3 linked regions of the Caenorhabditis elegans genome follow. The protein of the gene in region 1 purifies or fractionates together with the protein of each later gene. This does not show direct contact. Each region holds a gene or a part of one and is shown on either strand. Other genes may lie near its edges.

Region 1 (10,399 bases):
CACAAGAACGATTCAAATTCACATCATATTTTTTAATGAGACTAGCACACCACTTTGCAAAACGTACACTGTTTTCAAGAACTCATAAAGGAACAATGTATTACTCAGTCATTGACACATTGAGACCACCCAATAACCATGCAAAACACGTCACCAAGCGAAACCCATAAAATGTCGACACACTATGAACATAGCCTACAGAGGTTTTCTTTCATCAGGCCTATTAGTTTTTTTTCTTTTTCACATATATCTCCCCTGTTTTACTTAAAATACAGGTAAAAGTCGTATATCATTTTCCAATTGAGATCTACTTCTACGCTATTGTTATTCTCTTTACATTTTTGAATAACCTTGTATGTTCTGTTTTAAATATAAAGAAATTTTCAGAATGAATACGAATGACCTATTCGGAGGTGTAAGCAGTGATGAAGAGGAACAATGTGTCATGCCACAACAGATGCCAAGTGAGAAGGATGTACTTGCAGATTTGAAAATGAGGTAAAGACCAAGTGTAAAAACATGCAAGATAATACTTGTATAATCTCTTCCACTCTTTTAAAAGTTTTAACCAAATTCAATTATCACTAAAAGTGGACATTTTGTTTCAGTTCGAGAAAGTTTCATGAAAAATTTTTTTACATCCCAGAATCAGGCACATCTTAATTTTGAATAATTTTCATCAGAGACAGAACCTCTAGAGTTAGTTTTCAGTTAAATCTCATTTGCGTCACAGTTGTTTAAAAATAAAAAAAAATAGTGGCAGTCTTCGGTTACTGTACCCATTTTTCATTTTCAAGATTTGTTTAAAATTATATTTTTGTTCTAGTGATAAAGAAGATATACTCGTGGAAACTGCGCCGTCTGTGGAAAAGAAGGAAGAACCTATCGTCAAAATGGAGGAAACCATCTCAATAACTCAACAGTCTTTTCTGCCGCAAATCAAGCCTCAAGTTGTCTTCTATCTTCCAAATGATAATACTTCTACAATTGTTTTTAAATCATTTTGGATGCACAACGGAAAGCCCATTAGAGAAATCGTTGACGGACAGGGAACTAGTCAATTCACTGCTTGTTTCAAAGAATCTGTATGTTAATTGAAAGCTGAATAGCGCCAGGGGGTGTTCAAAATCACTTCTATAGAACATTTTCTGATCAAAAATCCAATTGAAAAATTTCAAAAAATTATTTCAAAAGTTTTCATCTAGTTTGGCATTTTGTCAAAACTTTGACCATATTTAAAAAAAAAAAACTAATTTCAAATTTTCAGGTTCGGGAGGAAGAGCAGCGAAGAAAAAGATTACGCGAGGAAAAAGAAAAAGAAAACGCGATGAGAGCTGCTTCTCCGGAAATTCCAGCCGGTCCCCCACCCACAAAACGGCAAATTCTGGAGCAAGAAGAGAAGGAAATTATTCTATTGAAAAATCAAGTTCTCGTTGCCAACTTCTCACAAGAACAAATTGAACGATACGAGGTTTATAGAAAGTGAGTTGATTTTCCATTTTTGAATTACAGATTGCCATGGAATTCCTTTGTATAAAACTTAATTTTTACAGATCATCGTTTAAAAAGTCCACAATCAAACGTCTTATCAATGAATTCACTGGAGGAATTGACCTTGGAAAAAAGGTAGATATTGCAGTAGCTGGATTGGCAAAAGTGTTGGTTGGCGAAATTGTTGAAGAAGCTCTTGATATCAGAGATTTGGATGAAAAAGAAGCAAAAGAACCACTCCAGCCACATCACATTCGTCAGGCATATCTTCGTCTTGGAGAACAGGGAAAACTCTTACCGTCATTTGGACAAGGAAATAATTGAGCTTTATTGCCAGAGAAGAACTTTTTTCGAACAATATGGGTGTTTTTTTGTTTATATTGTTATTTCATCGATCTCTATTGTGACAAAGTTGTCTATATTTTTGGTTTATATTGGAAATGAATCATTGGAAGTGGTAAATGATTTCTATACTTCCATAAAAATAACCTTCCAATCCACATAAACTTGAATTAGAAAAATGCCGGGGTACTGTAGATTGAATCTGGTCTCCTCTCAAAAATGATTGTGATGGTTATCGTTTTTCTCAAAAACATTTGAATCAACACCTAATTTAAAAAATCTAAATTCATTTTAAAAAACGAATGAATTCGTACACGAAGTCTTGAAAAAGGAAACGCGGGCACCAAAAAAAATTTTCGATTTCTGTAATTTTCCCCCAGTAGAGTTCTACTTGAGCAAAGTAAAAGTGGAACATTTCTAGATAAGAAAAATGCTCACGAGTTGAGTATGATCTTCTAACCATCTTGATATTTTAACTTTTCAATAATAACTTTTTACACTTTAAACATGGCAGCCTTCTGATTTCACATAATGGGAAACTTAGAATTGGAAATTTCGTTTTATTTCAAAAGAAGAAAACTCAAAACATAGCTAAAAATAGCAATACGATTGACGTCAAAACAGAACTTTGAAAATATAGATTTCTGATTTTCAGGCTCTTTTTGGCATCGATTTTTTCCAGTTACATGGAAAAACAATGAGAGGAAAATGAACAATTGATAGAGGAAAAACAGACAACCGTACAGTGTAAGTTATGCAGAAAAATTATTTGTTTGGTGGGGAATACACATGTACGTGGGAATGAGATGGCGAAAAAGTCAAGAAAAAACATCAAAAAATAAATGAAAGAATTTAGAAATTTTAGAGAACAAAGTCGTGAACCCCGGAGCTCTTGTTTAACTCTTTCCATTTCCCAACTGAACTCTGCAACAGATGAATCCATTGTCATTGCCCGTGTAAAGACATGCTGAGTTGTCTGGACAAGATTGTGGAGTTCCAGCACGAGCATATCTAAAATTATACAAAATTGAAAACCATTCAATTTTTCAAATCAAATTTCACTTACGGATTGCACGTCCTATAGTTTCCAGCCAACTCGACTGGAACCAAATTAGCTGGTTGTGGTGGGCAAACATTCGGCAATCGAACATCTGACTCAAGTCCACAACAGATATATCTTTCCAAATTAGTGGAGAATTGGCAATGTCTGTTGGCTCCACAACCCTGGATGGCGTCATTGAGTGGAGCTGATGGAGAGCAGTATTTGTACTGGGCTCCGTTTTCTCCTGGTACAGGAACAAGTTGTGGTGGGCAGTCTAAAAGAAAATGACTAAATTATGAGGGTTAACTCGAAGATACTTACATCCTGTATCAACAGAGTCTGGGGATCTGCAGCAGTAGAAAGCATTGACTGATGTTGTTGTAGTTGAGAACCAGCAGAAGAAGTTTCCAGGGCAAGCTCCATCAACATTTGGAGTACATTGCATTGGTTGAAGTGAGAGAGCAGAAATGAATGGAGTTGAAGCAGCAGGGCAGAGAGCTGGAAATTAATTTTTGGAATTTTGAAAGATAAAAAGTATGTTTAAGAAGCTGTAATTAAAAAAACTAACATTGAAGTTCAGTCGAAGCTCCGCAGCAAACATTCTGATCAAGAAGTGGTGAAGAATAACAAGTGTAACCATCGGGACAACCACCGGAAACTCTTCCATTTCCACCTGGATTTGAGCATTGAACAAGTCTGCTTCCATCTCCATCCTTGGCAACAACAGTTCCTGGTGGACAGGCTTCCGAAAGACAATAGTTTTGACAAGACTTTTGAGAAGCAAAGTTATTGCGATTTCCTTCACATCCATTATATTCAAATGTTTGGCATGTCTTTGAATCAGCATTGAAGTACCATCTGGAGATTCTTGTGCTAGAACATCTAACTCCGACGTCACGTGGTTGAGAGCATACGAAATTCTTTGATGGACAGCAGAGACTCTTTGTTTGGTAAACGGTTCCAGTCCATGTGGTAACTGGTGTACAGTAATGAGTAGATGGGCATTGTCGGTTAGTTGTACAAGCACGTGCTGCTCCATTCTGCTCCTTCCATACTTCTCCTCCATCTGGACATGATTCAACTCTACAGTAATCCTTACAATCTTGTTGAGTGGCAAAGTTATTAGAGTTTCCATCACAACCATTGAAAGAGTATGTCTGACAAGTTCTAGTTGTAGAATCATAATACCAACGAGTGACAGCTGGTCCACAAGATGCTCCAGATTTGTAAGACAATGAACAAGTGTAAGCTTGAGTTGGACAACATCCATAGGTGGTTCCATCATAATAACAGTAATGATTAGCTGGACAGGTGGTAGAAGCAGCTGAAGATCCTCCACAGATAATGAAGTTTCCGTTGGAATCAGTAAGAGCGGTTCCTTGAATACATTGTGGCTCACTGCGAGCATCTCTACAGTAATCTTGGCATTCTTTGTACGTTTCGAAGTTATTAGCATTTCCTTGACATCCAGAATAGATAAACTCTTCGCAGTTTCCGGTTTTAGCATTGAACCACCAACGATTGGAATATGTTCCACAGTTACCTTGTTCTCTTGGCAACTTGCACACGTACTGCGGACGTGGACAACAGACTCCTCCGAAAGTAGTTGAGCCAGAAGTAGACTCACAGGAGTGAGTAGATGGACATGAGTTGGCTCCAGAACCAGTTGGTGAGCATTCCATGTTGCGTTCTCCAGATGAATCCTTGAGTGGTTCTCCAGCAGAACAGAGAACTGAAATATACATGTTTAAAGTTAAAATTCTTCAAAGAAAACAGTTTCCTTACTTCTTGAGCAGAATTTCTCACAGTGATCTTGAGAAAGGAAGTTGTTAAAGTTTCCTCCCTGTCCGAGATACGAGAATTGAATACAACGTCCTTCTCGCGAATCGTAGTAGAATCTTGGCGAAGTGTTTCCAGAACCATCTGGGATTCCGACATCAAAGTATTCGGTTGGTAGACCTCCGGCTGTATTGTAGACTTCTGATGGAATTCCTCCATTTCGAGAGCAGATGAACACTAAAAATTTAAATTAATAAGTACCATCTTGAATATTCAAAGGTTTTATTCTCTTAATATCAAAATTCGGTAAACTCTCATAAACTTACAGTAAGTTGGACAACATTGTTGAAGAGTTCCCATGGTTGTACATTGATAGTTCGGGTTGTTACATCCATTGTCATTTCCTTGACAATAAACTGGCTCTTGTTTGACTCCAGTTGTACGGTCACGATACAATGGAAGACCGCGGTTACAGGCTGAACAGTTTTAATTTTAAAGTAGAATTTGACTTTTTCAAATTGGAAGTTGTTAAACACGGTTAATTTTCTATGTGTCCGTCAGCAACCTCACACTATTGGCATGGTGGTAGGACGATTCACATATAGACTATTAAACTGAGTCTACTGTGCTCATTGAGGCTATATGTATACATCGCAAATTAACCATATAATTTCATTCAATAAATATAAACTCACTTTGTTTACAGTAAGACTCGCAATGATCCTTTGTCTGGAAGTTGTTGGCATTTCCACCGTATCCTTGATATTTGAGCTCTCTACATTCTCCGGTAATTGGGTCATGGTACCAATGATTCAAAGTAGTACCACCACCTGGTGGAGTGTATCCTTCATTTGGTGGTTGAATACAAGCAAATGCACGTGATGGACAACAGAAACTGATAGGATTGTTGACGGTACAATCATCAGAATCACAAATACAATCGTATGAAAGAGCTCCAATAGCTTCACACGTGGCATCGGCTCCTCCGTAGCACTGTTGAACTTGGTTTTCAATGCGGAACTTTGGATTATTTCCGTTAAGTGGACAGAATCCATAGTTGAGACACACAAGACCATCACGAGTACGGAATGGTGGTTGATTGTTGGCACATCGACATTCTCCTGATCTACAGTATGCACCTGGCCAAACGGCTTCACATTGTCGATTTTGTGTACATCCAGACTCTCCCGGATTGATTTCTAAATATATTATTTCATTTCAATTGAAGAAAATTAGTAAAAATTTCAACTACATTGCAGTTTTCACTTATGACTCAAGAAATGGAAAATTGGAAATTTATTTTTCGTGCGAAACGAGTTTATTGAGTTTAAATCCTCACTTTTCAACATTTGTTTGTTACAAATTGTTTCGTAAAAACTGTATCATAAAGGGTCAAATTGCTTAAAAACGTTTACTGATGTACCAAAAAAACGATTTAGGTGTTAGTTTGAAAGATTGAGAAAGTGAATAATCAATTCATAATTTATTTATGCATCAAAGAAGAAAATGGTTCACAAGGAAGGTAAGAAAAGAGAAAATAAGAGAAAAGCAGTCGGTGGCAAAATAAGTTAGGCTTATATATGTGTGTGTGCTTGCGCTGGTGGCATTTTTGTGACTCAAATTTTGCAGAAACGACAACTAAAATCGGATGAGGAGAAAAAAGTTAAAAGAGCAACCCGCCAGGATGGAGAACAACAACCCAGCAAAACGACGACGATAAGCAATGAAACGAAACAATAAAAAATAATGTTGATGAGCATCCGTGTTGGTTCTGGATGTTTCGTTTTGACAAGAGAAGAAAATAGAAGGACCTAGGGTATACTAAAAACACGGGAGACGAGGATAACAGCGCGAGATAAAACGAATCAGGATACTAAATTCTTTGTATGGCATTATTCGTTGGAAGATACATAGAATCACAATTTAAAATGCCATACATAGTATTTGCCAAAATAAAAAGAATATAGATTGTGAGAAACAAAGAAGAAAGTCTAAAGGGATGGGGCCACGATATGAGCTTAGGAGAACAAACTGGATGGGGAACGAAGACGCCGGGAGTTTTCGGTTCGTTGTGCCAAGAGATCTCATTTTAGAAGTTGGCACGACCCGAGCAACTCACGGCGGATATCGGGTAAAAACCTAGAAATTTTGGAGCCCGTGTTACGGGAATCGTTGTAGGGAATCTAGACGTTTTCGATGCCATTTTCACATAGATAAAAAGGAAACGAAGAATTGAAATGAAAGTTTGATGGGACTATGAAGGGGAAAAACGGAAAAGTGCCTAACATGAAAAAACGCATGCATTCAACATGAATACACAAATGTACGTGAAATATGAATAATGATGAAAACGACAAGAAGAATGTGAATTAAAGTTAGAAAGCGAGAAGGCGAGAAGCTAGCACAGCGAGAATGGGGGAAGGTGATCAGTATGGGGATCTACAGTAATCTCGTTTCTCTTTATTTTATCAAATACTTACTTCTCCAGCAATAAGAATCAATCTCGACATATGTCGTCAGACAGGCACATCGCTTATTTCCAGCACAATAATTTCCGGTTCCGCAATCTGTGGAGACCTCACAAGGCCGTCCTACGGTTCCGTGTTGGGCACGGACCGCGATAGCGGCAAGCAGCAACAGAGCCGCTAATTTAAGCATTGTGCTCGCTTATCGTTTGTTGAAAACTGCTATATCACAGTGATCAATAGGGAATAATGGGGGGAGTGAGTGGGGGGACAAACGATTTGTCGGGCGTTTGACCGTGTCCGTCGTCTCTTCGCACGACCGCAAATACCACTACCAAATATCTTAGAAGGGGCCGAGAGTCAGTCAACACGAACAGACAAACCTCTATACAGCACACAGTCACCGTCAACCCGTCGACTATGGACTTGGTGGTGCTCACGGCGGTGGCTCCGAGACCCGCCCAGTCGTTGCTCTATTACTTCCTGGGCGGAACTGTCGTCCCATCTTTCTTGAGCGCGATCTCTCTCACAATATCGAAATGGTTAATTCTCGGTAAACAAATGCGCACAGAGCTCTCGCAGTTAGTGAATAAGAGAACCTAGACATACCGATTGACCCATATTGAACTATTCAAAGAGAAAAGAGTTAATAGAAAAAGATCCCCATCTAATCACCAGAAATGGTTAAAGGAACAAGAGGAAACTGGACAAAAACAGAGAAAAACTGTAACAGGAAATATAATACGGGGATGTGGGGAGGGATGGAGGGATGGAGATGATTGGAAACAGAAATTGAAGACTAGGAAGATGTTGTTGTTGTTGGTGTTTGAGATGAAGGAGCAACCGAATCAACAATTGGTTTTACCGAATTCGTTATCGAGCTTGAAGTACCGTTTTCAATTGGAGCCTCAGAGTTTGACTCTCTGAAAAATTAATTTTTAAAAAGTTTTTCAAAACTTCATTTTGAAATTTACCTCGTTGATGTTTCATTCTCCTCTTCCTGAACACCTTCTGCAATACGAGCAGCACGAATATCAAAAGCCACTGCAATTGCTTTTTCGACTCCTTCCGAATCCAGCTGAAATTAAAGTTTTGATATTTATGTGTTTTTTGAAGTGTTTGGTTTATTCTCTCTTCTTCTCATATTATCATTTTCAACGCGCATGTTTGTTAGCTATGTGTCGAGTGACCATCAGCGTGCGCTAGCGCTATAGAGGATAAGCATCATTATGAGCAACTCGATAGACCAAGAAAAAAAGGTCACCCCCCCCCCCCCCCATCATCCAACGTGCAGTGTGTTTGCCGGTGTCCTTATTTGTTGAGAAAGCCGTAAGAGTCTCTCTATCAGCAGATTATCCTTTTCTGCATTCTCCACTTAGAGTGAGCGAAGAGAAGAAAAGTTTAAGGGAGAACGCCAACAAAGTCACTCACCTGACACATAAAACCGTGTGTAATCAGATTTTCAGTCAAAGTTTCTGGATTGTCACCCTTGTTGATCGACGTTGTTAATTGCCGATGCATTTGATCTTCTAATAGAAGAACAATTGACATTTCTCTGAAAATTAATTTGTTAATGTAAATAATTACATCAGGTTTCATCAGATGCGAACTTTGCACTTTTTTCCTCTAATATACGATACCCGGTCTCGACACGACAATTGTTTTCGCAAATTCAGAAAAGTGGGTGCCTTTAAAGAATACTGTAGTTTTAAAATCTAGTTGCTTCGGAATTTCCATCGATTTTCATAGTTTTCCGATAAAAATATATTTATGTATTTGAAAAATATATAATATACAAAGTTAGTAACTTTCGTTCAAACTTCTACAAAATTTTCATCAAAATTTCATAGTTTTTATCTTGGTTTTGTCCAAATTTAAATTGTTGTACTTTTATATTTATTTTTTAAATATTTAAACTTTTCATCAAAAAACTATGAAAAGTCTATTGTAATTCCGAAGCAAATACGTTTTAAAACTACAGTACTCTTTAAAGGCGCGCGCCTTTTCGCATTTAACATTAAATTTTTCGTGTCGAGACCCGAATCATCAAATTTCGGGTCTTATTTAAAATTCTATCAGGAAAGGGTGAACTGATTCAGGAAGTATACTTTGAAAGAAAAGAAACGTACTCATTTTCAATATGCACATTGATCTCCAAAATGTGTCTATTTTCTAACCGCATATCTCTCTCCCCATTTGGTTCTCCTTCTTCTTCCGGAGTCGGTGATCCAGCATCACGCCCATTTGATGATCCTATTGTAACATTTGCTCCATTGACTTCAACTTCGACTTTACTCGTTGATTCCGTACTCGTAACTTCACCGATTTTCTTATCAACTGCTTCAGGACTTGCTGATTTACCGATGGAAGATGGTCCATTTGTATTAGTTGTTGTACCACTTGGCTGTGATGATTGACCAGGTAAACTAGTATTAACTGATGTTTCTGCAGTGATTGTTGAGTTGGCTGAAGGATGCGTTGATGAAGGAGCAGATATATCCGTAGTGATCAAAGTCGATGGATTAGTCTGAAAACTCTATAATTTTCATAGATTTACACAAGTTCTTTCTGTATCTCATACATTCGAATATGCCCGTAATGTTGTAGATGGTTGATGTGCAAGTGGTGCAAATGCAGTTAATGGATAAATTCCATTTCGAACATCATCGAGAAATTTTTCTAGATCAACTTGAAATGCGGCCACTTGGCAATAAGCCATCTCTCTTAATTTCGACGTTGCAGCAATCTGAAAAACAATGTAGTTTAAATTAATGTACTTAGTTCACTGTATTCGATCAAAAGGTAGTGTAGATAACCGAGAAGCGCCGACAAAGTGACCGACGAATCAAATATTTACTTTTGTGGAGGGGGGAAAGAGTAACAACAAAACGAACTCCTCATATGGCCATTTACCCGATAACTTTTAGAACGCATTAGTCTATGTGGGGATTCAACTTACTGTTTCATTGTCTTTTATTCGGAATGCACTTTCCGAAACATCTTCATACTTTTTCGAGTCGACAATTGCGTGCGCAGAGAGCAATTTTAATGAGTGAACCTGAAATTTTGGTAATTATGCTTCAGAAAAAAATGTCATTGAAATTTGTATTTGAAATTTTTTGACTCGCGAAGTATACAACTACCACACTTGGAATTTTTTAAAGGTTTTTTTTTTGGCAGAATACCAAATTTTTAAAAAAAATTGAGTTTTTGAGAAATGAATAGAAATTTTATATGTTAGAGTACACATCGGCTTTAGATAAAATTAATTTTAACATAA
Region 2 (7,032 bases), 870 kb from region 1:
GAAGAGCCGTCGTTCGTCTTCTCGTGGATCGGTGTATGGGCGCACAGGACGCTCTCGTTCGTCCAAGCGTTCTCGCTCCAGAAGCCGCCCAAGGACTCGCTCAGGATCCCGTTCTTCATCACGCTCTCGTTCCGGCTCCCGCAGAAGCTCCCGCCGCCGCTCGCGTCGTCGCTCATCTTCGAAGGCACGTGGACGTCGTGCGTCGACTGCAAAGAAGACTCCTGCCAAAAGACGTAGCCGCAGCAGAAGCCAGCAGAAGGTGAAACGCTCGATGAGCCGTAAAGGTTGAACGGATTGAGAAAAATGAATAACTTGTGAAATAAATTGTATTGTGTGATTTGTGTTTTTTGTTGTTCAATCTTTCACAGGGAGATATATTTCCGATTTCAGTTGAAAGCATATCAGTCGTGTATGTTATACCACAAAATCGCTTTTCACCTAGCCACCGATTCCTTCTACCACAATTTTCGAATCAGAATTTTAAACTGAAACCAATAGTCATCCAGAAACTATCACCTTAATGGATTTTCCTAGCTAAGAAAACATGACTGATCTTGTTTTATGCTGTAACTCTGTTTAAGCTGGACTGGAAGAAGTCATTGCATGTAAGGTAGAGTCAGGTCTCAGCAGGCACGTTATATTTTGCTCAAGTGCGGTAGGTGGCCGGAGTTTCCGTACTTAAATGAGGAGTAATATTTTGACCCAAAATGTAAGCGCTTAACAAATTAACGAGTTTCGTAGTGCAACTTCTTGAAACAAATTTTAAAAAATATTTATGGTGGTTCAAAATTTCGATAAAAGGCCTAATCATTAGCTAAAACTTAAATTTTTCCAAACTTTTTAGGCAACCAATTTCGGTGATTTTTGTATAATCCCAATAAATATAATTTCAGCAAATTGTTCTTGTTGTTTCTGTTGGTTGTTTCTCCTTGTCAATAAATAATTTTTTTACGAATTGTAAATTAAAAATAAAATTTCTTAGAAGAAAACCGTGAGAAATAAATATGATTTTCAACTTTACGTGCTCTAAATTGATCAAACTCCGAGATAAAAGTAGAACAATCAATATTCCAACAAGAATTGGAAAATCAAATCACTTCAGTTTTTCAAACTGCTATCGACAACTACTTACAACTTCAATATCTACTAATTACTTGGTAAGTGCGGTGGACAGAAATTTCAGTTGTGATACAGATACTTTCAGAACTAGCCATGGGAAACAAAATGGCCCTTCCACAGAAGAAACAGGAGAAGCCCACTCACGCAGCAATGAAGATCGCAATGAAAAGCGGTCGACGCGGCATCGAGAACGCCAACAAGCTTCCGACAGTTGCACCAAAGCGACAGTGTCTTGTGCGCCTTCTCAAGATGAACAGGATTCATGATTACTTGCAGTTGGAGGTTTGTGAAAACTAAATTATCAGTTCATCCCTAGAAAGCAAAGAGTTCATCCCTAGAGAGCAAAGATGCGGAATTTATCTAACTCGAGGTCTTTAACACTTCATAAAGCCATAGCTTGTAGTAAATGTAGTTTGCAATCTATGACGTCATCATTACACGAACTTCAAATCGTTGTAGGGTTGGAGTAGTAGGATAGACGTAGAGAATTTTGTTTTGTTTATGTCAGTTGCGTAGGGATCCTATGACTGCAGTTAAATGGTTAACAGTTGTTTTCATTACAGAAAGAGTTCATCACTCGTCAAACAAGCCGTCATGGTCGCCCTCTTGCTGTCCAAAAACGTCGTGAACAGCAATTAGTTCAAAGTCTCCGAGGAACTCCAACCACATTGGCTCGTGTCCACGAGCTTTTCGATGATGAGAAGCATGCCGTTGTGGTCGTTGAAGGTTCGAGACGTGAATGGTACGTACCAATTCTCTCGATCGTCGACAAGGACTTGCTTCGTCTGAATGCCCTCGTCATGGTGAAGGCTGGTGGAATGTTCAAAACAGTTCCAAGTGCAATCGTTGGAGTTTTGGATGACAAGATTGACAGCAATGCGATGGGACATAAAGTTGAGAAGACACCAAAAGAGACATTCGATGACATTGGAGGATGTGAGAGTCAAATTCAAGAGCTGAAAGAGTCTGTGGAACTTCCTCTTACTCATCCAGAGTACTATGAAGAAATGGGAATCACTGCTCCGAAAGGAGTTATTCTTTACGGTGAACCTGGAACTGGAAAGACGCTTTTGGCGAAAGCAGTTGCAAACTCAACATCTGCAACATTCATCCGTGCAACTGGATCCGATCTTGTTCAGAAACAAAGTGGGGAAGGTGCTCGTCTTGTTCGTCAAATCTTCCAAATGGCAAAGGAACAGGCTCCATCGATTGTATTCATTGATGAAATTGATGCAGTTGGTACGAAAAGATTTGATACTTCTTCACGTGGAGAACAAGAAGTTCAACGAACTCTTCTTGAGCTCTTAAATCAATTGGACGGGTTTGAAAGCCGTGGAGATGTCAAAATTATCATGGCAACGAACAGAATCGACTCGCTGGATCCCGCTCTTATCCGTCCTGGACGAATTGATAGAAAGATTGAGTTACCAAAACCAGATGAGAAGACTAGACAAAAGATTTTCACGGTTAGTCAATTCAACATTTCTTAAATAATTTTTATTTTTAGATCCACACCTCTGGAATGACGATTCAGAAAGCTGTCACCTATGAGAATGTATTGGGAAAGGAGAAGAGCATTAGTGGAGCTGAAATCAAGGCGGTTTGCACGGAAGCTGGTATGCTGGCTCTTCGTGCTCAACGAAAATGTGTCGGAACGGATGACTTTGAGAAGGCTGTCAAATCGGTTATGCTGTCGAAGAAGGGCGGAGCACCAGAAGGATTCTTCTCTTGACAATCGGAAATTCAATAAAGTACAAACGAGTTTACCCTAATGAACCTTTCTTCTCTTACAATGCCAGTGCAGATGTTTTTATGAACATCTGTAGTTAATTTCTTTGGTCTTTCTATGACCATAGACTGTTTGTTTTCGTAGTTTCTTTCCCTTCCAGAGCCTCAATTTGAAGAATTATGTTAACTTGATCCGAGGCGTTTTGAATACCGATCTCGAGTATAAATATTTTATTGTTTCAATGTGTTACTGTTTAACACAAGATGAGATTTGTCGTATACACTCAAATAGATACAAAAATAAATATCCAAATTTGTTTAAAAAATTTCAAACTCATTGAGCTCGCCAAGTTTCTTGAAAAAATTGTTTACGTACAGTTTTAAAAATTATAAAATTATTAAATACCACCATAACCAAGAAACGTGATATTTTCTGAGATGGCCAAAACTATTAAAAATCGATTTTTTAAAAGTCAGTTCTAATTTTTGGAGTCAATATCGTCCCAATGGTAGCATCAAATAGAAGACAATCGAGGTTTGCAGAATCATTGTTTTCATCTAAAAAAAACTACATTTTTCAGTTCAGATTCAATACCTTCAAATCAAAAATCACACAGCTCTAACCATCACACTTCTAATAGGTGAGTATAACTACAATCCACAGAAGAAAATTAGTTTGTAACCCACATGCTCGACATTTCGCTCCGTGCGATTGAAAGCTGGGAAATCGCGAAAATCTGCGACGATCTACGATAGCATGCGAAGAAATGCGCGGAAAATTCGAAACTAGGGGTAACCCGCAAAGATGTGCGACAATGTGCGAGAAAAAGCTGAAGCAAAATGTCGAGTTTCTGTATTATCTACACCAGGAAAATATAAAGACGACAGAATAGCTGTCAAATCTTCTCAAACAATACCCACTGCTTCACCACTGTCAATCCAAACTGCAATAGTCTTTCAGCGATGGAATGCAAACTCACACGGATCGACTTATTAATAAATTTATAAAGAGGCAAATGGAAAAATCTTCACCAGAAACTCAACATCTTGTCAGAAAGCAATCTATTTTAAAATTTGTTGAACGAAAGTCTAGAGCGGAAAGACCGAAGCCAACGAAATTACGAACAATTTTGAGAAAGATTCGAAGTGAGGATTTGGTTTATATTCTGCTTAAAGTAATGTTTCAAATTTCAGAATTTAATACAATAATTGCATTTGTGGTTCTTGTTGCATATATAATTGGTGGAGCTCTCTTGTTTTGGCAGATTGAATCGAGATCTGATATGAATGTTTGTAAAGCTTTTGTTTCTGTTGCAGATATATATTCATTGATAATATTTTCAGATTAATGAGTTCAAAAGAAATATTCGTCAGAAATCAATACACATCTACAATTCAATGAAAGGTAGCAAGTGTGGAAAATTGAAAAAGGTTTGTGAAAGTATTTCTGCATCTCTTTCAATTGAGCATACCCGGAAAACGCCTCGATACAATTTTCATCTATTTCAGGCAGATAATGAGTTGAACAACAATTGTATAAAAGAAATTTTTGACCTACTCTACGCTTCAAACCCTCCAAAGCATATAGAAGAGTTTCTGGATGGGCTGGCTTATGTAATCACTTGTATTACGACAATAGGTATGACTCGGGATTAACAAGTAAAATAGTATCAAAACTGATTTCGAACATTTTGAAAAATATTTTTAAAATTTTCTCCCGAGGTGTCGTCTAATCATTCTATTTTCTATTTCAGGGTACGGCGAACTTGTCTGTCACACAATTGCCGGTAAATTGGTTACTGTAGCTTATGGTATTATAGGAATTGCTCTAACACTCTACGTACTTCGCAACAATGGAAAAATAACGTTGAAAATATGCAATTTGACACTCAAAATTTTTGCAATTTGCGTTCGAAAATGGTAATTTAACATTTAAACATAAATAACCTCTTCTCAACTTTCCATATAAAATCTTTATTTGAGTTCATTATTTAGTTTTCAGTGGCAAAAAGTCGGCAAAGTATAAGATGACAGTACTGAAAGCTTTTATTCTTCTTGTCACATTTTGGGGCTTCGGAGCACTTGCAATTGCTGTCTATGAGGAGTTTGTATTCTATGATGCCTTGTACTTTTCTTTCAGTACATTTTCAACTATTGGATTTGGAGATTTTGTTCCGTCAGGTCATATCTCTGGAACTATTATTTGTGTATTACACTTTATCGATTTATCACTGATTTCAATGGTTTTAGTTCTCGTTCATGTAAGCTGTGAAGATTCCCTTGTAAGAAACCAAGTGTCTAAAGTTTACAAATTTCAGCATTCGATGGAAAACAGATTTATGAGAGTTTTGGAGCTCTTCGATGAACGGCATGCTACCGACACTTTAGAAACAAATATGATATCACCTGGTGCTTCTCAACGGAAACTTGCTGCAACGACTACAGCGAAGGAATGATTTCGATCCAGTGATCATAATTGATATCAGATTATTCTCAAAATTTAAAATATCTCTTTGCTTATTACAATTTTTATTGATATTCTTTTTGTGGTTTAATTCTTATTCTTTTTCGTCATTAAGAGAATGAAGAAATTACAAAAAGCTTCTTTTTTTGCACAATGAAAGGAAAAAAAAACTGCCCATTTAGAGATTTAATCCGGTAAAGGCTTGACAGAGGCGCCTCACACCCGCCTTTTTATTTGACCTCCCAGCGCCGTACCTATAACCTCATGTGCAATTTCTCGTTACGGAGTTAATTTTAGTAGCGCATTCGTGAATAACCTATTTGGTAATTGAATTTTTAATCTCTCAAACAACGGTGTTTGTGGCTAGTTAAAAAAAATTTATTGTTCTTTTCTTTCTGAAAATTATTTTCCAGGAATACGTGCAGCTCACGCAAATACCGTCATTTGTGAAAACGCAATCATTAATTATCAAACAATTTATTTTCGATTATCATTTGTGAAAGTTTTCCCATGAAAACAATGAATCTCGTCTATTTGATACTTGTCTCGTTTCTACCCTCATCAGCCTTCGTCAGCTGCTCATTTACCAAGTCTGGAAAACAAATTCTTCAACAAATTTTTGAAGGCGATAAAGACAATCACACCAAGTTCAACAAGTTTCAAGAACTTTTCAAAAATTTCGAAGGCAATTTCAGCTTTTTTTTAAATGAAAATGTCACTTTACGATATGTTTTCAGATGATAGTTTTTGTATCAATTCGCTCGGAAATATTGGCAAATCTGCATTGAAATTTCTGTCTGAATGCTCATCTAACACGTGCCTCGAGCCAAACTGGGCTGTCCGTCTTATTGATTCACTTCCAACAAAACCACCAGGTCTTTCACGTAAAGGACCATTCTTCTTCATCGGAGATTTTGAAACATGTAAAGAACTATGGTCGGTAGAACATCGGCAAGTACATTATTGCACTTTGAAAGGAACGGTGAAACTTGGCAGCGAAACTCTTCCAGTTACAACAGGTTCCGTTTTTATTGTTTTTTGCTCCGTTTTATAATCTTTTCACTGTAGGAGTCTGCCTTCCATCAAATTGCCATGAAAATCAAATGAGTAAGTTGCTGAATTTGGCGAAGGAGTACTTGTTCAATGAGACGATCCACGTGGATTCAGTTTATTGTTCGCATGGCACCGACAGTACTTGGAGTGTTAAGAAAGTATATTTTGATATATTTTAATTCTAAAAGAATGTTTCTATTTTCAGCCATTTGTACTTTTCTCATTATTCTTTATCCTGGCTTTGTTGACTATCGGAACGTTAACTGAAAAAATGAATCGAGACGGACTGATCAAGAAAAGTAATACGAAAATGAGAAGAATGATTCATAAAAGTGAGTGACATCAAGCTTTAAAAAAAGTGTTAAGCAAAAACCACAGCTGCAGATCTATTAACATCAACCTGAATTTTTTAAGAATCGTTTGATGTCACTCGTTCGTCAGCTGTCTCTATCAGTGAGGACCGTTCAGACCGTGAATCTTGTGGATTCGACTCTTCAGGAGAGAGCGAAGATAATGAGTCACTTGCGAATTCTTCAGTCAACCGTCAGTTTGCTCCATCAATTGCTCTAACCTACCGAACCCTGGCGACTATCTCACTATCGAATTCTTTACTCGTCAACATTTTGTCTGCATTCTCCGTCCGTTCAAGTTTGACATACTTGTTCCGT
Region 3 (6,477 bases), on another chromosome or scaffold:
AAATACGTCTTACATTTCATTTAAGTAGAAAAAACTGTACATATGCTATTTTTTTTACAAAGCGTAACACTTTACTCCAAAGTATGAAAGTTTTCATTGAAGCTGTAGTTGCGCCAGCGAGGAAAATTATTAAAACCTCCTATAATGCCAAAAATGGCCAAAAAACATTTCAAGAAGTGATGAAAAACGTTTTATTGACATTCAAATAGTGTCAATTACTGAGTTTGTGTCACTTTTTGAGAAAACTGTCGCAGGTTGGAATTCCTAAAGTGTTAGAGTATTAATATATGAAAAATAAGTCCATTAAAGTCGAAGGATCATTTTTCTGATTGACGACTTTCAAAAATCTGTGTTAACATTCTATGACAGTTAATAGAAATAAAAAGATTTCAAAAAAATTGTGAAGAGTTTAACTATGATATTTGGAAATTTTTAAACAAAATGTATGGTTTTTACTTATTTCCCCAGTAGGGTTACTTTGCCTTTGAGCTTACTCAGAAAACAAAAACTAAAAATAGGCAAAAGTTGTGCATGACCTTGGCAAAACTTGGAGGTTACACCAATATGCAACTGCAACTTGGATTTTGGCAGCACCAAACCCATGTTTGACTCAACTCTTGCCAAACATCTACCCAAGTTTAAAACGAAACAAGAAAATTTTGGGCCAAAGTTTGGCTAGAGTTGGGTCAAACTTCGGATAAGCTTTAGCCCAGCCTGAATCCAAGTTCTGCCAAAGTCCCGCCCAACTTTTGTCCAAGTTAATATTTTTAGGGTCAAACTTGAGCGAGAAGTTGAAGCCAAATGCCGAGAAGATCTAATATTAATCAATAAAAATTAAACAAATATTGATCATAGTCAAAGTACTTTGAAACCAGATTTTCATATTCAATCTTTTATTTTGACTTATTTTATTGTGTTTTTATATTGTACCGAAGCTTTTTATTATCTGCATTATCAGAGTTTCTCAGAACATTCCGCAATCTTTGTAACCTAAAATTATTTACTTCTCTCACATAAGTTATTACCGTATCTATTGTTGTCCTCAGCGTTCCCATCTTTCCAAAATGCCAGTGCACTAATTATTTATTGTGTAAAAGGTTAGCAAAAGGTTTCTTATACTAGACTGCATTCCAGCTACTGGTCTTATCCCGAACAACGCTTCCACTTCATTATCACCATTCCCGCGCACTTTCCCCGGTGTTATTTACTTTTTTCTCAACGATCAGGTTTATATACATATTTTTTAAAGTTTCGTTAATGTTAATCGCTTAACATATTGCATTTGATGCTCATTGGTCGACAAAAGTTTTGCAAGTAGTGTACATTACTCAACAAATATTATTTGTTTGTTGTTTTTCTTTTTGACTAATTAATTCCTCTGGAAGTTTTCTCCGCTGAGTAGCAAGAAATTAATTTACTCTCTCAGCAGAATGATTATGGAATTATGGAATTTTCAGCGTTATTACTCGAGATAAACATGTGTCAAAACAGAGATCTAACGAAAGCCGGATCCCATGTGATTTTCAATTCTTGTTATTCACACATGCACCTTAGTTGTTCCAGACCATTCCCACATATCAAAACAGAATATACTATATTATTCATTTTTTGATAACCTGTAACAGAGAGTCATAATCATAAACAACTGGATGAATAGAAACCACTTGGTTCTGGTGTTCACTGGGGGAGAAGGTAGGGAAGGGGAATTAAATTAATTGGGTTGCGTCCCGGTTATCGTTCATAAATACTGCTGATAAGGATCTTGGTAATAAATAAATAAAAAGTGTCTTGGTCTCAGAGTGTGATTCTAGTTTGGATCGTAGCACAAAGCAACTCTCGGTAGGGATCTCGATTGTCTCGGACTCGAACCATCATTTGGTAGGCGGACTGAAAAATTGAAGTATACTGAAGAAGTGGATTTCTTTTTAATATTTCAATTTAAGAAAAAAAAACGTATTTGCTAAGCGTCCGTCAACGGCTCTCCAGTACAATAGCCATCGCGTTTACCTTATGGTCAGTACCCACCAAGTCATAGTGAATCATTCGGAACAGATTCGTAAACAACTTTGTTGGATCAATCTCGAATTCGATAACCTGACGTCCCGGAGTCACCGGACATGACGGGTTGTCGTCACACATATCATAGTTGCTCCTTAAAAAAACATTCAATGTTTTTCGGTGTTCTGCAAAGAAAACAACTTACAACAGCCCAAAGCTTGGTAAAAACATCCACCCACATCCGAACCATCCGGTTGAACGTTTAAAGATTGACACTTCGACGCCCAAATTGTCATATCGTTTGTTAGAATTACTGGTGATGTCGAGGAAAATTCGAATAGGCGAGTTGAAGGAAACCGGGTAGGTATCATCACCGTTGCCGTTTGTAATTGCACCGCCGTGAAGTTCAAACTTTGTGTCTACAATTTTTGGTATTTAGGGCTCTGTTTTACTAGAAGTACTGTACCTTCTTTACACTGGAAAAACGACGGACGAACTCGTGTTCGATTCGGAAGAGCAACGCATTCTTCTTCTTGTTCTAGAGAAGAATCTGCCATAAGGTATGGAGCATCCGGTGCAACTTCAGGGTCATCAGTGTTATCTTCGTTCGAGCCAGCTACTTCTGCAGCTTGATTACTGGCATCTTGATGGCTACCAAAGTTTTTGAAAGATCGAAAACGAGCAGGCTAAAAAATAAACTAAATCAAAACAAACACAAGTAAACAAAAAAATACCACTTCTTTTTTAATTTCAGCGCTATCTTGCTCAAATTCTTCTAAACTTGCAAAAACAAAAGGGAATATTAAGAATAGTAGAATAAAACGGAAATTCATCGTTAACAGAATTTTTGTTGAAATCTTCACTTGGAAACTTTTTTGGAACTGGCCGCAACCTGGGTGTATCGAATGTTTAGAATAAAACACAGATGAGTGCAAATTGAATAGAGCACTCGACGCACGAAAAGGTGCGGGTTGGTTTTTGAATTGCCTCAGGTGCTAGCGGGAGGTCGACGGGTGCGCTCTGTTCTGCTGTTTTCTGTGCTTTATATACCTGACCGTCTTTTTTTGTAGAGCGCCCAACATGTGGGGCGTTCTTGAAAGTCCGACAAAAACGCGATTCGCACCTGGTTCCAAAGCTCCGCCAAATCACTCGAGAGCCCGCATTTGTCGCTCGATCAATTTCTAATTAGAGCAAATGGTGAAGCACTCGAGATTGCCATTTTTGGCATTTGAAGATTTGCTCATTGCTTTCTAGACGGCTCTCTTCCTCACTCTTGACAAGTTTTTATCAGACACTCGTCACAGAAATGGTCTGCTTATTTCCATGGGACAGTGCAAACACAGAGCACAAAATAAAAACAGAAAAATAACAGAGTTTCTTTATTGGAAAAAAATGAGGGGGATGGAGAAAAGAATAGCTTGCATGAAATACATGTTTCGATTAGAATCATGAAAGTCAGAAAAAAACCACAGAACAAAATTGCTGATATTACCAAAGAAAAATTAAATTCGACACATATAAAGCTACACGATGTGGACGATGCGATCACTGGGCCAAAACCGAAATGATCTTAGATCATGGTATGAACAAGGAATTATTGTGCTCAATGGAATGATGGAATAAAAAGTGAAATAAAAACAATCTCGATTCCCTTTGAAAAGGTGACATTGAACAATTGAATTGCTATAAAATGATGTGAAAGTGAAACAAGTTATGATTTGAATATTTAGAAAACATGGAAATTTAATGAAACTTTAACTATTATCCGTATACGATGACTGATCATCGATTGCATGGGCCAATGCAGCCGCCCGAAGGGAGTCAAAATTTTCAGCCCCTGATTGAGCAGCCATTCTTGAAAACAGCGAGCTCTGATCATCCAGCAAAGTGATCGGTTTGTCAAACTCGACGAGCTCTCCTTTTTCAAACACCTGCAAGTTGCGAACCTAGGCATTGTTTGCTTGTTGAGAAACCACTTACCATTACATTATCGCTGTTCATAATGGTGTGAAGACGGTGGGCCACCGTGATGATTGTGGCGTTTTTGAAAAAGTCTCGAATTGTTTTCTGGATGCAAGCATCTGTCACTCCATCAACATTTGCGGTTGCTTCATCAATAACAAGAATTTTGGATCGGTGGATCATTGCTCGGGCAAGACAGAAAAGTTGACGCTGACCGACAGACAGGCTGACTCCCCGTTGGCCCAATTCGACGTTCAATCCTTTTTCTTTTGTGATGGAACGTTTAAGCTCACACTGAAAATTTTTTCAACGATTATCCTACAGAATCTATTAAAAATTTCGATTTCATATGAATTTCGGAATCTCGTATTAAATTAGACCGTTGGATCAGATTTAGGCACACATAGGACAAAACTAGGGCTACGGTGAGGTGAAGTTTGAACTTGGTTAAAATATGAGAAAAAGTTGGATCAGACTTGGGAGGGGTCATGTCCAAGTCTTCCTCAAGTCTTGCTTATGTCTTGTCCAAGTCTTGCTCAATCTTTGCCCAGTCAACATTTTACTTTTTCAATAAAATTTGTAAAGCCAATGGTGTTAAAACAAGATTATAGGGGCCATAAAAATGGCTTATAAAAATTTCATTCTCACATGTTATTCTTCAATAAATTAAAGCCATACCTGCTCTAACGCAAACCAAATAGTAGCATCATCATACTCATCGAACGGGTCCAAATTCTCCCGGACCGTTCCTGAAAAGATTACGGGCTCCTGCGGAATGATAGACATTCCTCCTCTTCTGAAGTTAAGACTAATGTGATCCAGATCCACACCGTCGATAGTGACACGTCCAGAGCAGTACTCTTTCAGTCCAAAAATAATTTTAATGAGTGTTGATTTACCAGCACCAGTTCGGCCGACGACTCCAATCTAAGTTTCAGAAGTAATACTCTGAACAAAAAGTTAGTAACTCACCTTTTGTCCACCTAAAACAACAAAGCTAAGATTTTTGAGTACTTTGGTCTCCCCATAATTGACAGATACATTTTCAAACTCGATTTCTCCTTTCGTTGGCCAAGAGTTCAGTAGCTGTTTATCGAGGTATGCATCATGTGGTCTTCTGGCTTCTTCTTCAGATTTCAATTTGGTGTACTCTAGCACTCGTTCCACGGAAACCATCTGCAAATCGACAGTTTGAATTCAATCCGCATACTACTATGTTTGTATTGTCTTCATTTGCAACATTTGCTGTGTTCACATTGTATTCATTTAGAATAAAAGACCGAATTGAGAGTTTCGGGTGGGTCGCTCATTTGGCGCCACCATGACAAACATTCCATTTGTGTTTGTTGTGATGTGTGTGTGTGTGTGTGTGTGGAAAATGCGACAAACCACTTCAATCGTCTGATCAGGGCAGTTCGCGCTTGAGCATTGTCCAAAACTCTTTATAATCATGATGTTTCGCCAACCGCATAGTGAGCTCAATTCGACCTTTGATGGCGGAGCAGGAGGAGGAGAAGGGGGAGCAAATTGGAGGAATCTCCCGCGATAAAAAAAGAAACAAGCAAAAAATAAACTCACCCCGTTCTCCAGCTCGGCGCTTTGCCGCATGATCCACGAGAAGAATCCACTCAACTGAACCGCGCACACAAGGCACAATCCGACTTCTCCGACGGTCAGGGTTTCTAAAAATCTCGGAGTGTTGTTTTGAAATAAGATACGATGGACGCGGTGGATAAACGTTACTGTGTTGACTTACCATATTGAAGAACAACAACAATCGCCACAATGGAAACGAAAACAGACACCAAAAAGTCGATGCAAATTCCGAACCAACGGGCGGACAAAAGTCCCATGTTGTACGCGGCCATATAAACATCCTGTGAAAAGGTCAAATTTTAAAATAGTTCGTTCGAGAAATGGGCTCTGGCGTTAGGGAGGGGGGTCTTACCTAGGTGTTTTTAGGGGGTATTTCCTATAGGGTGGGTCTTAGAGGATCTTTTCTAGGTTGTCGTTTCCACTCTTCTAGGAGATTTTAGGGGTTCTTCTTTCTAAGAAAAATTCTTAGGGTTTTTCCGAGTAGTGTTTTAGGATAGGATGTCGTTCTTGTAGTCACTAATGGCCTTGAGCAACGTTAAAATCAGCTAAATTTAGTATTCCGATCAGGGATGTGCGGCGAAAAAACCTTTGACTTGCTCTGAGCTCAATCGGGCTCGACTTAACATAGATTAGTAAATTTTTAACATTCTCAAAAGTTTGGCAATATATTAAAATTGTACTTTGTAAAATAAAATGTATTCGAAACTTACATGAAGAGCGCAAAACTTTTCAATCATCTCGTTTTCTTTTCGGTATGCTCGAATAGTCGACAAACCATGGACAGTAGATGTAATAGTAGTGTTCAGTGGAGACCGAGCTGAAATATTCAAAACTGTTTTGTTTTCAAGAACCGCGAAGTAATGCTTACCGGCTGCCTCAATTCTCTTCAATTCCCGTGAACGATGAACGTACATTTTCCTA

What was found. The genes of interacting proteins can lie anywhere in the genome.
Region 2: the proteins of K10D3.4 (region 1) and twk-37 fractionate together in Caenorhabditis elegans (co-fractionation; one large-scale study listed by BioGRID). This does not show direct contact.
Region 3: the proteins of K10D3.4 (region 1) and ZK470.6 fractionate together in Caenorhabditis elegans (co-fractionation; one large-scale study listed by BioGRID). This does not show direct contact.

The regions. Positions count from the first base shown.
Region 1 is NC_003279.8:7,132,360-7,142,758, forward strand, and holds K10D3.4 (BPTI/Kunitz inhibitor domain-containing protein), read right to left. Parts: upstream 7,615-10,399; 5' UTR 7,313-7,614; coding exon 7,135-7,312; exon of another isoform or gene 6,123-7,134; intron 5,854-6,122; coding exon 5,350-5,853; intron 5,131-5,349; coding exon 4,981-5,130; intron 4,892-4,980; coding exon 4,661-4,891; intron 4,608-4,660; coding exon 3,444-4,607; intron 3,374-3,443; coding exon 3,197-3,373; intron 3,150-3,196; coding exon 2,900-3,149; intron 2,845-2,899; coding exon 2,730-2,844; 3' UTR 2,379-2,729; downstream 1-2,378. Other genes in the region: taf-11.2 (Transcription initiation factor TFIID subunit 11), read left to right, coding at 389-498, 827-1,085, 1,268-1,482, 1,554-1,815; hpo-11 (Protein kinase domain-containing protein), read right to left, coding at 7,919-8,042, 8,094-8,197, 8,551-8,674, 9,249-9,646, 9,701-9,865, 10,079-10,177.
Region 2 is NC_003279.8:6,267,832-6,274,863, reverse strand, and holds twk-37 (Potassium channel domain-containing protein), read left to right. Parts: upstream 1-3,330; 5' UTR 3,331-3,353; coding exon 3,354-3,382; intron 3,383-3,428; coding exon 3,429-3,488; intron 3,489-3,808; coding exon 3,809-3,993; intron 3,994-4,041; coding exon 4,042-4,136; intron 4,137-4,191; coding exon 4,192-4,278; intron 4,279-4,356; coding exon 4,357-4,486; intron 4,487-4,601; coding exon 4,602-4,767; intron 4,768-4,849; coding exon 4,850-5,108; intron 5,109-5,165; coding exon 5,166-5,303; 3' UTR 5,304-5,444; downstream 5,445-7,032. Other genes in the region: spch-2 (SPerm CHromatin enriched), read left to right, coding at 1-289; C10G11.8 (AAA+ ATPase domain-containing protein), read left to right, coding at 1,213-1,401, 1,683-2,585, 2,627-2,851; oac-9 (Nose resistant-to-fluoxetine protein N-terminal domain-containing protein), read left to right, coding at 5,831-5,996, 6,049-6,330, 6,380-6,522, 6,570-6,696, 6,779-7,032.
Region 3 is NC_003284.9:4,174,477-4,180,953, forward strand, and holds ZK470.6 (MD-2-related lipid-recognition domain-containing protein), read right to left. Parts: upstream 2,832-6,477; coding exon 2,733-2,831; intron 2,685-2,732; coding exon 2,465-2,684; intron 2,418-2,464; coding exon 2,204-2,417; intron 2,153-2,203; coding exon 2,008-2,152; intron 1,888-2,007; coding exon 1,795-1,887; 3' UTR 1,589-1,794; downstream 1-1,588. Other genes in the region: mrp-6 (Multidrug resistance-associated protein lethal(2)03659), read right to left, coding at 3,753-3,929, 3,979-4,254, 4,639-4,887, 4,933-5,136, 5,539-5,642, 5,717-5,837, 6,267-6,373, 6,425-6,477.